Linked DNA regions of Oryza sativa Japonica Group. The protein of the gene in region 2 binds, or shares a complex with, the protein of the main gene of each other region. Links are inferred from orthologs where the notes say so. Each region holds a gene or a part of one and is shown on either strand. Other genes may lie near its edges. The genes, in order: general transcription and DNA repair factor IIH subunit TFB4 and general transcription factor IIH subunit 2.

Region 1 (7,762 bases), on a different chromosome or scaffold from region 2:
TGTGCACAGAGCCTCTTAAAGAGCTCCATAAGATGCTTGTTCTTGAATTGCTTGTAGAAATTTGCACCCATGTGACGCATGCACCACCGACTCTGAACATCAGGCCACTTAGCTGGAAGTCCCTTCTCATCCCAACCGTTCTGCAAGTAGTCAATAGCCCGCAACATACCCTCATGACGATCATGTATAAGGCAAACGTTGGGCCTCATACGCACCACTGCAATGTGCACTCTCTCTAGGAACCAGTACCAGCTTTCAGTGTTCTCACTCTCTACAAATGCAAAAGCCATAGGTAGAACCTGGTTGTTCCCATCACACCCAATTGCTGTCAATATCTGACCTCGGTATTTACCTGTCATAAAAGTTCCATCTATGCATAGAACAGGTCGACAATGCACAAAAGCATTGATGCAAGCACCCAATGAGAAAAAGGCTCTTTGCAGCATACTCTTTGTTCGATCATCAACCGATGTAAATGTATGTAGGTCATAGTACGTATTATTATTCCTCTGGGCAATGGTGGCTAACAAACGAGGCAAATTATCATAAGAAGCTTCAAATGTGCCATACCTCATCTCAATGATCTTTTGTTTGGCTCTCCAGGCCTTTGCATAGCTTATGGTGTACTTGAATTTGTTCTCGATGTGCCTAATAATTGATTTTGGTTCAAAGCCAATGTTACCAACAACACTGCTGTACATCTCACTTGCCACAAAAGCTGAAGTGATGTTTCGGTGATACTTCTCCACCCCTTGTAAGTAGCACTTGTGCTCGGTCACAATGCTAACTTTCCAATAATCATTCCATTTACCCTTATATGCATGGACACGCCACGGACAATCTTCCTTCATGCACCTCACTTCATACACATAATTTGTTGACTTGACCACCCTAAACTCTCTCTGCAAGGAAACTGCCCAATGCTTCACCGCCTCCTTCATCTCATCCTTATGAGCATACCTTGCACCGTCAATTACCTCGTTCTCCTTATACTCCCAGGGTACATGATCACCCTCTGATATAACAAGTCCAGAGAAGTCCTCATTTGCCCAATCAGTGGCCATTACATCACCTTCCTCATCGGATGATGCGTCGTCGTCCGCTTCCTCATTATCCGAATCTTCCCTCTCCATTTCATCAACAATTATACCGACTCTCTCCCCCTCATCCGCCATGCCCATAGCCTGCTCCTCCCTTGGTTGATTTTCCTCATTTTGCATCGATGGTCCAACAACATCCCCTGCATTGATAGGACCCTCTACATCTTCGGTTTGCATTGAAACATTTATATCTTTCTCTTGTACCGACACAAATATAACGAGGGGCCATGACCGTTCAAAAGCCATTTCCACATACCGTCTCCAAGCATCAGTGCTGTCCATCGGCATTAGTTCCCAAAAATAACCTTCTGTTGCACGACTCACTACAACTGACACTGACATTGTGTAGACTTCTTGGTCTATTCTAAATCCTCTCAACAACCAACTATAAATTGACTGAAATGTTCTCTCCGCAGGCCTATCGATGCCCTTAGATGTCATTACAAAATCTGACAGATCAACACCATCTGGACCAAATCTAATATTTCCTTTACCATGAACTATCTGAAATGTGACCTTACTTGACATTGTGCCTGATGAAAACAATAACTGCGTTAACCTCGCATTTCTGTACTACGCCCTAAGTTACATTCTCTACAATATTGTTCTCTAAATTTCTAAAATTACGTTACATTCTCCAGATCAAACTAAACTACATCTTACAATTAACACTACTGTCTATGTCTCAATTCATACTATTATATTCTATGCTCTGGATCTACACATATGTGCTATGTGCTACAGATGTGCTAAAATATATGGAACTAAAACTAAAACGCAACATATATACTCAAACATAACATATTAGTACAAATGCAAAAGATGTATGGGAGCATACCTGTGATGAATTGAGCGAACCAGCAGGGCTTCGCCGCTCCCCTTCTGCTGCCCTCCCCTCTCTCTCTTTCGTTTTTTTTGGATTTTTAGTGAATATAATGAAATTTCACAGAGGAGGGACTGGGCTTTATAGGGGGAGGCAAAAATCGCCCTCCCCCAGGGCGGCAAGGGGGCCGCCTGCAAAATTCCATGCCCCCTCGCCGCCCATTTGCAGGCGCCCCCCCCCCACAGTACAAAATCGCCCTAGCGGAGGGCGGCAAGGGGGCCGCCTGCAAAATTCCATGCCCCCCCTCGCCGCCCATTTGCAGGCGGCCCCCCGCACAGTATAAAATCGCCCTAGCGGAGGGCGGCAAGGGGGCCGCCTGCAAATTTCGTTGACGGCCGTCGCCCGAGAGCGAACGGCCGTCTGCCACGTCATTTTCGCCGCCCTCTGAGAGGGCGGTAGGCGACTACTTCCGTCAATTTTCAAAATGGAAAATTATTTTTGTAAAACTTTTAATAAAAAAATTATAAATAAAAAAAATTCGTCGTCTCTTGCCGCCCCCAAGCGCAGCCGCAACTCCGCCGAGTTCGCCGCCTCCGCCTCCGCCTCCCGACGGCGGCAAGGCAACCGCTCGCGCCGCCGCCGCCTCGGCCCAACCAGCGCCTCCGTTCGCGCGTGTCCGGCCCTGCCGCGACGGCGGTGAGACTGCCATGGCCTCCTCCAAGCTCTACTCCGGTAAGCGGCGCCCGACCGTCTCCGTTTTCTGATCCCTTTGCGTCTCGCTAATCTTCCCCCCTTTTCTCTTGCCTCGTCTCCACCGCGCCTGCGCAGATGACGTCAGCCTCGCCGTCGTCGTCGTCGACACCAACCCCTTGTTCTGGGCCACCGCCGCCCTCCCCTTCGCCGACTTCTTCGCCCATGTACGCCGCGACCTCCCAAACCCTATTTCCCTTCTCGTCCCCCGCTTCCCCTCTCGATTTCTAGTTTTTGATTCACATCTATATCATGGGGATTAACCACGGAAACACGATCAGTATCTAGTTGCATTCACGCTGATCTAGCTAGTTTGATTTTATTCTGACTCCTCCAGAGAGGATCAATCTCTAGTTGCTCGCTGATCTAGTTAGTTTGATTTTGACTCTGAATTCTCCAGAGAGGAGAGGATTTACACTTAATACTGATGCAATTCCGGGGTGTATGTAGCTGATCCACTACGTGAACTCGCTCTTGCTTCTGAACCACCTCAACCATGTGGTCGTCATCGCCGCGGGGCTTAGCTCTTGCACCTACATCTTCGACTCGAGCGATGCTAGTGCCTCTGGTGCTGCAGACGTCGCGGCCACCTTCGCAAAGGCGAGCCGCAAGATGGATGAGTTCATTGCAGAAGACGCCCGTGCCACTAGCAGCAATGGTTCCGTTGCTGATGGCAATGCAGCCTCTCTTCTCTCAGGCGCACTGTCCCTTGCTCTGTGCTGTATCCTATGACTGGTACTGATTTCTTATTGTTAGTGCATTTTCCATTTGTGCTTGTATTTCTTAACATGGAGGATGCTTAGATATACAGAGGGTTTTTCGGTCTGGTACTCGACATCCACAACCTCGGGTGAGTATACACTCTGTGTGTGTTCTAAGTTACCTTTTGTTCTGATTCCTGTTGATATGTTGACCTATGAGAACAACATAGAAGGGAGCATATCAGTTAGCATAAATGTTTACAATGCGCATGCTGTATGGACTAAAAAAACCTGATAGGCATCTGACCCATCACTAATGATATAATTATTTAATTTTCTTTGTTTTCTTGAATTTTTCTACTCAATATCCTCACAACTTATTCTAGTGGCATCATGTATTATGCTAACACGAAATACAGATTTTATGCCTGCAGGGTTCTCCAGATGGACCTGAACAGTACGCACATTCATCGATTTGATTGTGTAGTATATATTTTCTGGAACATGTTTTAACTCAATGAGATGCTGCGCAGATATGTAGCGGTCATGAACTCAATATTTTCTGCTCAACGTTCCATGGTATTGCATGAACTGTCACTATTCCGTACATTTGGGTTCATTGTTCAATTCATTTTATTGATACTCTTGATGTCACCTCACCATTTCACAACTGTAGTGGTTTTAGTGAGTCCCAACTGCAAGTAGCACTACCTCTAGACATGTCTATATGACTATATACATCACCAGTTTCATTGCTTAAAACATTCACTAACAACTTTGGTCCTTATTTTTTTTTTCTATCAAAAAAATTTAGGTCCCAATCGATTCATGCATAGTAGGAACCCAAGACTCTGCTTTCTTGCAACAGGTAATGTTCTTCAGTGCCTTCTTGGTCTTTCTTTCCATTTATAACTTCTTTTACATGTATGCCCCCATAGAGCTGTCTATTCCTTGCTGAATGCTGATCATATACTGGCCTTTCATTTGCAGGCTTCATATATAACAGGTGGAGTTTATTTGAAACCCCAAGAACTAAATGGTCTATTTCAATACCTTGCTGTAAGTCATTCTGGCACTTCTGTAGCAACACACATATTTTCTCATGCAACCATGGTTACATCTTTATAACTGCATGATGCATTTATATAAAGCCTGTGGCCATCTTTTCTGTGTAATAATGAAAAATTAAGAAGGCAACTAACCTCCAGCACATGAATCTGATGTAACTCTTTAAAAGAAAAATGCCAGATCAGCCCATTTTCATTTTGTGAAAAAAAATAATATCAACTTTCATCTAAGGTTGTCTAGGCTCTTCTGTTTTCCTGCCTTTGCTTGAATGTAGAATGTACTAGTAATGTTTGGGAACTCATGCATCTCTAGTGAGTGTGGCTTGTTTAAAGTGTGCACTCAAGCATAATATTTCCTGTATGTCTCAAACTGTCAATCTGGGAAGATCAACACAACTACATCTCTAAACTTTAGTGCCAAATGATTTTGGATGCTACTAGTAGACTACAAAGTTGAATGCCCTCTCAGTGTCTATGTTCATGAGTTCATCTCCTATGTCAAAACTCAATATTTTCTGTCACTAGAGTGGGGCACATAGATACTCCATCTTCCTGGTACTGGTAGTATATCTACCTGTTAATCTAGAATCAGATTCACATATATATGTACAATACACTAATGAACAACAATGGAATCATCAGATTATGGCGTGATAGACTGTGCTGTTTACTTCTGACCCAAATCTATTGCTTCAATATCAGCTTACGTTGACCTGTTTTTGGAATATATATATTAGTTCCAAAGTTGCTCTGTTTTGTGTTTGTCTTTATTCTATCTGAGTAGGAATATTTCTATTTCAGATAACTTGATTAATTTGCTTGAGCTCAATGACTCATTTCTGCAAATATGCAGGCTGTATTTGCAACTGATTTACACTCAAGAACCTTTCTGCGCCTCCCCAAGACTCTGGGAGTGGATTTCCGTGCTTCGTATGTGTCACTCAGTTTCCTCTATTAAGTTCTCTAGGCATTAGGCATATCTCTGTTTCTTCATCTTCTTGAATGCCTTGTGACATAGCTATGAGATGCTTGTTATAGATCTGAAAACATAGCATAATACCAATGACAATTTCAGAAAAATGTGAGAAACATACAGCTAATTTTTTTTGTGAAGTTCTATCTTACCAAAGGCCTTAGGTCAGGATTAGCAGCTCAGTTTATTTTTGTTTTTAAGTTTCCATTCAGTTTGTCTGATACTGGTGGCCTTTCAACTGCATCTAATTTGCTATATTTCTTTTCAGATGTTTCTGCCATAAGAAGACTATTGACATGGGATATGTTTGTTCAGTTTGTTTATCGATATTCTGCAAGTATCATAAGAAGTGTTCGACCTGTGGGTATGTTATAGTTGCTTTGTGTTTCTATTCTTTTGTCTTTTTCCTGAGAGCTTTAATTTGTTTCAGTAAGAATCAGATTGTTTGCTTGTTTAATTTGATGTGCTCCGTTCACAGGTCAGAATTCAACCGTGTCATGCCCGACTTAAATTCTGTACCTGATCAAAGGCAGTAGTCTACACTACAGATGGCGAAATATCAGACTGCAGACTTCTCTTTATGTTCTCCACAGGTTCGTCTGATGTGTCTCTTAAGAAACTTCGGTGCCACTATCTTCTATAGTTAAAAGATCTCATTTGTAAAATATAGACTACTTCATCTGCATTAGCTGACCCCCAGACATGCATTATGCGTTAATGATGATGACATGCACATACAGTGCACGCCATATCTAGTCTAGTTTCAAATTTTACCTACCTTGTGTTCTTATGTGCGTAGGTTCATGCCCGTGCTTTGTTCCATTCTGAAATGTGGTTCATTTTCCAGGAACATCTATCCTAGCATTTTAGCCTCAATGACATGCACATTTATTTCTTAGATACGATACATGATGCTGGATCAGCCTGTCCCTGATTTTGACAGGTTCAACTGATACAGAATGGGCATTGTGTGCATACTTGAAGCAGCGTCAGTTTAGCAAAAACTAGGCAACTGGGCGTAGCAATTTTGTCAACTGATGAGGGAACTCACGCCCGACTTTTGGAATTAGTTTGCCTGCAATTTGTAAAGTTGGCACATGAACTTGTGATGCACCATTTGCAAATGCTCTTTTTTGCTTACCGAAAACAGGACAACAGGTCAAGCTAGTAGATGGCAAATCATTTTTCTTGTCATGGTGACACAGGTTGCGCTAATGTCTTGATATATTACTTCGAGCTCCAAGAACAATTTTGATTTTTAGTTTCCTATAACGGCTGTGTGCACTGCCGATGGAACTGTGCAGATTTGTTCTGGCGCGATGCGATGTTAAAAATGTTGCTACGTTTTTTTTTCAAACGTAGTCAAACCAAAAGAATTTTGATTTAGAAAAGAGTCAAAGCATTTTATAATATGAAGCGGAGGGAGTAACTAGTACAAGCAATTCTCACAAAGAAAACATTCAACCAAGTAACCCGCAGCAACGTTAACCTCTAGCACAGAAACGAGTTCGTACTTTTTACAAGACGTCATAGGTATTAAGATCATCAAAATGTACTGAGCCTCACTAATAAATGGGTTGAGAAAAGGGCTGCAAAAAGAAGTGATACAATACAACATAGGGAGGATTCAGATTCAGATTCCACTTCAGAGCTATTTCTTGGGCTGAGAAGGGGACTCATCTTGCCAGGTTGCCTGCCATTGCTTGTCGTAGAACGTCGTCTCATCGATGAGCTTCTTCACTGTCTCTATGTCCTCGTTTTTCCTGACCAGCAGCACACCAGCCACAGCAACAAACAGTAGGGTTTTGCAGAAGAAGTTGCCCATCTGGTCGACAAGCCCCACGCCGGTCAAGCTATCAACAAAGTATGCCATGAAGAAGCCAATCATGGCAGCACGGCCTGCAGAGACATAAGAGTGTGATGTTAGAAGTGATGAATTCTTCTTTCCCATGCACGTGGTTTGTTTGCACATGTGGCTTGATGCAAGTAAAAACTTTTGAATTCAGCTTTTGAAAAGGAGAAGGATTCAAGAATGACCATTTAGCTTCTCGGCTTCAGGGAGATGGAAACGCTTCATCCATGCCCACCACGGTATGATTGAAGTATCGAAGACAACGGCCTCGTCAGGGCTAGTTGCCTCTGGACAATCTTCAAGCCATTTCCTTCTCCTGGCCTCTGCAAACAAACAAATATGGCATCAGATGATTGCAACATTTCCAAGGAGTTATGTCAGTCGGCCTCATTAGATAGTAAGGAATCCCATTTTGTTCCATTCACTGCAGCACAATGACAAGTGCCATAAGTTTACACATCATTGGCAGACATCTTGTTTGTACCGATTCATAAAT
Region 2 (7,974 bases):
TTGCACGAGCTCGATGCGATGCCCAGCCGGTGCCGGACCACATCGTCAGAAAGTTGCAAGCGGCGAACTCAGTTCGACCTTGTGGTTTGAGTTTGTCGATCCGGATTTAAATTATAAACTTAACACGGTTATTAATATTTATAGCTAGTTAATTCTTTTAGTGGTAGATAATACTATATATATCGACACATGACATCCATATATGTCTATGGTAACTTTGAAATATGATAGAGAGATATGTCTATGATAACTTTTGTTAATCTTAAATTAAATATATACCGATGTAATCTTTAGAGATGTTTATAAAAAGAGTAAATTTTATAAAACTACACGTCTTGTAGTTTAAGTTGTAGAAAACCATAAACATTTTGACACTTGGCACTTAAGTATATATATTTTGGTAGTGTGATATCACAAAACCGCACTATCAATGAATGAATTCACCCGCGAGATGATGTGACTGTTTCAACTAGGACGAGAACATGGCATCTTATTACTAGCCATCCCATGAAATTAATAGGATGCCACGTCATCATCTAGATAAAACAACCACGTCATCTCATGTGTGAATCCATTCATCGATAGTGTGGTTTTGTGAAACTAAACTACCAAAATATATGTACTTAAATGCCAAGTGTCAAAATATGTGTGGTTTTCTGCAACTTGAACCATAAAACATGTAGTTTTGTAAAATTTACTCTTATAAAAATATGATGTGCGTATATGTGTTTATATGAGCGAGGCGTCCGTACTGTTGAAGGAAAGGAAGTTGCAAGTGACTGTGTATAGGCAGCATAGGGCACGAAAAGGGCTTAGCGCCATAGAGTGTGCACACTGTGCAGTGCTCGGAAAAGGCCGTGGTCGATCGGTTGCCGTCGTGCTGTCTCACCTGTGTTTCTTTCAAGTGGACTCGAGTGATCTACAGTTGAAAACGCACAGGACGGTGCAGCAGCCTGCAGTTCGTCGTGCCCACAACTTGGCCGTGCAACTGGTGAAAAGGAGCACTGGCACCGCTGCCTGTCATCCATTCGCTTTAGCAAAGTCGACATGATAGCCACAGGAAGCACACTTTCATCAGAGTGTAGGGAACCAGGGATATGCTGCGTATATGTAATTATGCATGATGATCGCCACTGCTCGTCACCGGAAAGCTGAAAGGGAACAACGAAAAAGCCCAGAGTTAGCATCTGTGTTGACTCCGCCCATCAGAAGCGAATTGCGAGGCAGCAAAAAAACGTAAGCCATCAGCCTCTTGGGTCAGCAACATCGTGCTCTCTCCAGCGTTTTGCCGTTTCGTTCTGCGTCTCCGCCTGCTTTGAAATTGTGCAGTTAATTGCACGAGGCAACTGCTTACCTTGACGATTCTACAGTCAGCAACCAGCAACGGAAAACGCCGGGTGCGTGCGTGCGTCGAGCCGTCGATATCCAGCATATTGGCATATCAGGAGAGGAAGGGGGAAAAAAAAAGAAAGGAACAGCCTCTGCTCGTAAATGGCATGTCAGGGCATGACTATGACACTGAAAGAATACATCTTTGCCTCAGAAAAACGGCAAGAGTTACAAGTTTTCACTTTTCAGTCGCATTGTACATTTCTAACACCTCCCCTCAGCAACAATGCTATGGCTTCAACAACTCTTTGACCAGTACTCTGTATCAAAATAGCTTAACTAGCTACTCCATCTAAATGAACAGGAAGCGTCAACAAAATGGAGGCCGGGCACTATATCATCTGTACACTGTTTGATTACCTCACAACATCGCCTACCAATGTCAGTGTACGAGAAAGCTTACAGCAACGGGTAGCTTCTTGAGTTAAAAAGACAAAGATTAACACCACAATGGCATCCCTATGAAGAACTACGCTGACTCTCGCAACCTGGGCAATTGTGCAAGCTCTCATGGATGTAAATATCGCAATCAAGGCAGAAGTGTTGGTTGCATTTTGGACAGCGAACATGGAGGCTAGATTGACTATCTGCAAGGATATTGGATAAATAATTAATAAACCTGATAATTGCAAAGTACTCCCTCCGTCTCAAAAAATAACGAACCTAGGACTGTATATAACACATTCTAGTACAACGAATATAAACAGAGGTATGTCCAGATTCATAGTACTAGGATATGCCACATCTAGTACTATGTTGGTTTTTTATGGGACAGAGGGAGTATAATCTAGCACAAAAACCAGTGAAAAACATTAAATGTAAGAGAAGTATGAGGATTGGTAATTGAAGAACATGATGCCATGTAATAACAAACAAATGTAAGCTTTGTATTATGTATTTTCTCTTCTTTTTTCTACCAACTGCAACATATGTAGCACAATAAGGATATCTTTCCTTGTATGAAAATGCATTGAAAAGGTAGCATGTACTGTTAGACGTGTTAAAGAACTGCATACCAGGGTTAATAAAGCTTTGCTGGCAGCCGTAACACTTTTGTCCTCCCTTTTGACCTAGTCTATTTGGGTGCACGGAGGACACCTCATCAAATGGTTGTACAGGGAAGAGATGATGATAGGACCTTGCCAGATGTGGAGAGCTAACTAGTGTCAGCCCGCAAGTTCGACATTCTGTTGGAAGCTCACATACATTGACTTTGCATCTAGGACATATGTAACCTTCAGCCCCCGACTTTATTTTCTTGTGACAAGAGCAGATGGAGATAAGATCCTCTGCTCCTCTCTGCGGAAAACCCATCTTAATCAAATTAGCTGCAGCATACTCAGCAATTGCAGGTGGTGGAGGAGCATGTTCCAGAAGCAATTCCTTGAAATGGGACTGCCAAAATAAAACAGGCATTATTTATCTTCACAATAACTGAATAAGGAAAGGTAAACACACAAAGCATATTTTAAGACCTCATCCAGTGCAACTGTGTAGGATCCGCCAGTCTCTTCACACAGATATTTGCAGATAAAAATCTCTGCAGCAAGCCCAATAACCGAACATCGTATTTTGGATTTCTTGCATTTTGCTATTGTCTCCATGATATCTCCAGGATCACAGGTATTCAGGGCCGAGTACAAAAATAATACTTCCTTGTGACCATATGAAGGAACCTGGTCTAAATAACCATGGACAAGCTCTAGAGCATTCTGCAGAGATGGTTCACCAGAACACTCAAGCTTCCCCATCAATGCTTTAATCTGTGATTCAGGACTACCTCCAATCTCTGTAAGTCGATGGGAAATCCCATCTTTCATTGTCACTATCCCCACATGACTCAAGGGATTCTGGTCAAAAAATTCCCTTATGAATACCTCAGCATATTTTGCAACAACAGCCATTCGACTAGGTCGATAATCCATCTCTGAAGCTGCCTACATGATCAAAGATACAACCAGGATAAATGGAGATTACAACCGAATGCAAAGAAGTAAAAGAAGTCGTGGGCAGCATATCAATTTGCAGTAAAAATATCTTCATCACCAGAACAATCATGAGCAGCCTACTTTGTGAGAAGAAAATGTACATATGCTAAAATAAATGGTATAGGCCCTCTCCAAGATTTCTTGGAGCTAGGTATTTCTAGCTCCATAAATCCATGGATCTAGATCTACGATTACGTTAATAACATTTAAATAAATTATTTCGTGCACATTTCAAATGAAATTTAGAATTTTAAACCATTATAATTTAATTTATAAACTTCAAATCTACCATGGATCTAAGATCTGGAGCTGTGCCAAAGAGGATCTTATTTACTACCTATCACCCAAAGGAAGAAAGGGCTTTTTCCACATGAATGCATACACAAAATATACGTAGTGTTCTCAAATCAACAGAAAACACTTTCCAACAATGTCAAATGGTATGGAGCAGTAATGCAGTACGGTGCCCCTTTCCTTTGACATAAAACAAATGACGATCAACCAAAACGCTTTACCGCTTCAGAATCTTGATAATGAAAAACCTCACGCTCCTCCGATTCCTATGAAGTTTTCAGATAGGACAGAACCAAGAGAAAATTGCTATTAGCATGAGCCTAACAGGGATGGGGTATGAAATATGTCTTTTCCTTTTTAGCTTGCTCATAAGAGTCATAGTGCAGTAATTTATAGAAAGAATTTTATTTACCACAGATCTCAGGAGACCCTTTGGCACAAGAATTTTTTTCCTTTACAAAACAAACTATTATAATTGTAGAAGAACCATTTTTAATACAAACCATATACAATTTCATTTTAGTTTGTGAACTTCATTGCGTTCAATGGTTGGCGAAAACCCCCCATTCAATCTCTGGTTATGGCCCTGGTCAATGGCAAACAAAAATGGCTAGATTCCAGTATTGCCCTGATATGCACCGATTATAACACCCACTCTCAGGGACTAAAAGCAGAACACCTAAGCAAGAAGACAAGCTAGCAAATCATACATGAGTGATGAGATCATCAACTCAAACATCAAACCTTGATGTGGAAGTGGAGAGGATTGCGCAGCTAGTCACTGAAATAGCTAGCATATGAAATCAAGCTAAAAGCACTACATAGTGATCACCGATTCAACAATACTGCCTCCAGTCCACATTTCACACGAACCAAATTGAGGCCATGGGCAATACCACCAGATCAGCCTCGGCACGAGGTGTTGCATTTAACAAACACTGAGAGGTTAGCACGATCAGCATTGCCCGCCATCCCCAGTGATCCTAACCCGAGCTCACGGAAAACTCCGCACTCACCAAGTGCTCGACGGAGTGACTGACCCGAGGACAAGCTTAGGAGAAGGCACGGGGGAACGAACCCGGGAGAGATCGATGACGATGTAGAGGTAGCGGATGAGGCCCTTCTGGATGCGGGCGGCGGCGGAGGCGGCAGAGCGGAGGAGAAGGCGGCGGCGGTACTGCGCGTGGACGAGGGTCTTGGTGTCGATCGGGCGGAGGAGGCCCGACTCGTCCTCCTGCAGCGCCTCCCATGACCGGTCGTCCGCGTACGCGCGCTCCCAGGCCTCGAGGACGCGCCCCTCGCCGGACTCCTCCTCCTCCTCGTCGTCGTCGTCCTCGTGGTTGCGCCGCCGGGCCGATGCCGTGTAGGGCGCGTTGAAGCCGCCGCCGCCGCCGCCGACGCCGTACATGGTGGAGGCGGCGGCGAGGCGGAGTGGGAGCAGAGGAGGAAGGAGAGGCGAGGTCGGGGACCGGGGAGATGGGCCAGGTTTTGGGGTTCCTGGGCTTTTGAGTGGGTTTTCCTTAACTTTTCTAGCTTTCCCATGCTTGACGGTTGAGGCCTTACTTGCTTGCACTTGAAAAAAAAACTGAAAACCCATCTAAAATTTTATGAATATTTTTTGGGGGTTATCGTCAAATCTTGCAGATTTAGGGTCAAAAGATGTGCTTCGTGATTAAGATAAAAAAAGATGTGCTTTGTGATTTGTGCTCTATATTCTTCTCCTCTTGCTTTAGCAACCTCCTTTTCTTTGTCGACATTGGCGCCACCCTGAACTAGAATCGACGGATTAGGGTCCATATTAGATTTAGGGTAGGGATTGGGGAAGAGGGAGGAGATCGTCGGTCTTAGAGGCATGATCATGGGAAGTGGTGGACCAAGGGGGGTGGTGGACAATGGATGCTAGTGAGGCGTCAACGGCGATGTCAGCGCCCATTGGGATAAAGGAGCGCGGTAGGGGCAAAGCAAGCTTGTGTTAAGAAGCGGTAGTCGGTGGTGGTGGTTATGAGCAGCCGAAGATGGGGAAAATGTCGGATCATGGGCATCTGCTGGCTTGAGAAGGAATAGAGGGGGGAGGGCTCCGTCAATATTAATGACACTTCCATCCAAGTGATAGCACAAGAGGCGTCAAGGTCGAGCATGTCGTGCATCGGTGAGGAGGGAAGAAGAAAAGGAAGAGGGTTAACGTGGGGGGATTTGAACGAATCTCAAAGTAATCCAACGAGGGGTTTATGTCAAATGTAAGGCTTATTTCCTTTGTCGAGTTAAGTTGACATATGCACACACTAACTTTATGCATCTAAGTCCTAACATACACTCAAATTCGAACAGTAGCCTCGTTTAACATGGGTATAAACTTATCCACCAAATATTATGTGCATTCAGTGCCTCCGGAGATTAAGTCTCCGAGAAAGTGCAAGCACCAGCATACTACCTCATCAGATTAAATCCTAGAAAAAAAATGCAAAAGCACCTATACTAAGACTACAACTTGAACTTCGATGGATATGTTCTACCGCAAGGGGAGCTCAGTTGGCAAATTTGATGAATAATTTTGATAAACTGAAATACAGGTTGTAGTACTTTGCATAATAATAAAATCACTAGACATCTGCACATGTGCATGTTTGAACTTTCAGACACTTCATAAAAATAAATATAGTTTTATGTTGACAGTTGGAATTGCAGCATTGGCAATGTGGCACCTGACCACCTCGATTTTTTTAATAACGAAGTTCATGCGATCTGTAAGTATTTATACTATAAATTCATCTCTATAGTTTATATCATCGACATGGTTGACTGGTCGACATCGCATCTAATGCGCGAATGTATCCATGTCTCATGTGCCACGCTTTTGTTATACAGGTGTCGCTGATAATATCTTCGACAGACTTTGCAGTACTAGGTTCCAATGCTGCAGTTCCACGGTTGTTGTTCTGTGCTTCTGTTGTAATGCCACTGATGACAGCTAAGCTAGGACTAATCCTAATTCCAATCAAAACCTTAAGATGTTCCTAGTTTCCTACAGATCAGCTAACTTCAGAAGGATGAAAGTACAGTCTGATATTTTCCATGCCTCTTGAAATGTGCACTTCATCTTCATGCATGTTCATCAATCTGTTATCTGTGAATAAACTTGATGCATTCTTCATCGCATTGTGATCCTTGACTTATGTTTAGAAGATTTTCATCTCTAGACTTCGGGGTCTTTCTGAAGATCAGGTAAGGCCGAGTTTAGTTCTAAACTTTTTTTTAAACTTTTAACTTTTTTATCACATTAAAACTTTTCTATACACATAAACTTTTAACTTTTCAGTCACATCATTTCAATTTTAACCAAACTTTTAATTTTGACGTGAACTAAACACACCCTGACTTCAGTAGGATGAAAGTAGTCTGATATTTTCCCTGCCTCTTGAAATGTGCACTTCATCTTCATGCATGTTCCTCTGTTATCTGTGAATAAACTTGATGCATTTTCCATCACAAGTATCATTTAGGCCTTGTTTAGATCTAAAAAATTTTAGCCAAAAACATCATATCAAATGTTTGGACACATGCATAGGACATTAAATGTGGAAAAAAAATCAATTGTACAGTTTGTATGTAAATTGCGAGACGAATCTTTTAAGCCTAATTACGCCATGATTTGACAATGTGATGCTATAACAAACATTTGCTAATGACAGATTAATTAGACTTAATAAATTCGTCTCGCAGTTTACATACGGAATTTGTAATTTGTTTTGTTATTAGTCTACGTTTAATACTTTAAATGTGCGTTCATATACTTTAAAAACTTTACACTCAAATAAAAACACATCCTTAGCTTATGTTTGGAAGAGTTTCTAGACTTTGGGGTCTTTCTGAAGATCTCTTCTGGCAATCGTTGAGAAGCACAGCAACCTCTGTGCAATAATAGGCCTGGAACTATGCGGTGATGTTCTTTTCTCCTTTTCTCTTAAAGATAAAGATGAAAATTAATTTTTTTACGCAAAAACGAGATGATATTAACGTATGTTGATTGAGTTTTAATTATTACAAACTTTAAAAATAGATTAATATGATATTTTATAGCAACTTTCATACAGAAAGTTTTCGCACGAAGCGCATCGTTTAGCAGTTTGAAAAATATGCCACGAAAATCTTAATCTTCATCCTGTTGTGTATGTCAATCAGCTGTACTAGTCATCTCCTTTCAGAAATTTTCAGAGCAGCGTTTGGCTCTTGTGTGTGGTAGTCTTGGGCTATTGGCTCTCTTCAGAAACTTGCAGAGCAACTTCAATTCGTACAAGCAGACTGT

Evidence for each region.
Region 1: general transcription factor IIH subunit 2 (region 2) and general transcription and DNA repair factor IIH subunit TFB4 share a complex: the UniProt entries of both Arabidopsis thaliana proteins name them as parts of the 7-subunit TFIIH core complex. The link is inferred for Oryza sativa Japonica Group from reciprocal best matches to the Arabidopsis thaliana genes GTF2H2 and AT1G18340.

What each region holds. Positions count from the first base shown.
Region 1 is NC_089036.1:1,353,084-1,360,845, reverse strand, and holds general transcription and DNA repair factor IIH subunit TFB4, read left to right. Parts: upstream 1-2,476; 5' UTR 2,477-2,630; coding exon 2,631-2,655; intron 2,656-2,751; coding exon 2,752-2,840; intron 2,841-3,123; coding exon 3,124-3,394; intron 3,395-3,476; coding exon 3,477-3,523; intron 3,524-3,793; coding exon 3,794-3,831; intron 3,832-3,907; coding exon 3,908-3,953; intron 3,954-4,188; coding exon 4,189-4,242; intron 4,243-4,364; coding exon 4,365-4,433; intron 4,434-5,294; coding exon 5,295-5,371; intron 5,372-5,682; coding exon 5,683-5,778; intron 5,779-5,892; coding exon 5,893-5,950; 3' UTR 5,951-6,007; intron 6,008-6,261; exon of another isoform or gene 6,262-6,357; 3' UTR 6,358-6,686; downstream 6,687-7,762. Other genes in the region: light-harvesting complex-like protein 3 isotype 2, chloroplastic, read right to left, coding at 7,066-7,313, 7,452-7,589. UniProt on the Arabidopsis thaliana protein: Component of the general transcription and DNA repair factor IIH (TFIIH) core complex, which is involved in general and transcription-coupled nucleotide excision repair (NER) of damaged DNA and, when complexed to CAK, in RNA transcription by RNA polymerase II.
Region 2 is NC_089038.1:25,934,523-25,942,496, forward strand, and holds general transcription factor IIH subunit 2, read right to left. Parts: upstream 5,171-7,974; 5' UTR 5,080-5,170; coding exon 4,750-5,079; intron 3,327-4,749; coding exon 2,865-3,326; intron 2,785-2,864; coding exon 2,406-2,784; intron 1,977-2,405; coding exon 1,849-1,976; 3' UTR 1,483-1,848; downstream 1-1,482. UniProt on the Arabidopsis thaliana protein: Component of the general transcription and DNA repair factor IIH (TFIIH) core complex, which is involved in general and transcription-coupled nucleotide excision repair (NER) of damaged DNA and, when complexed to CAK, in RNA transcription by RNA polymerase II.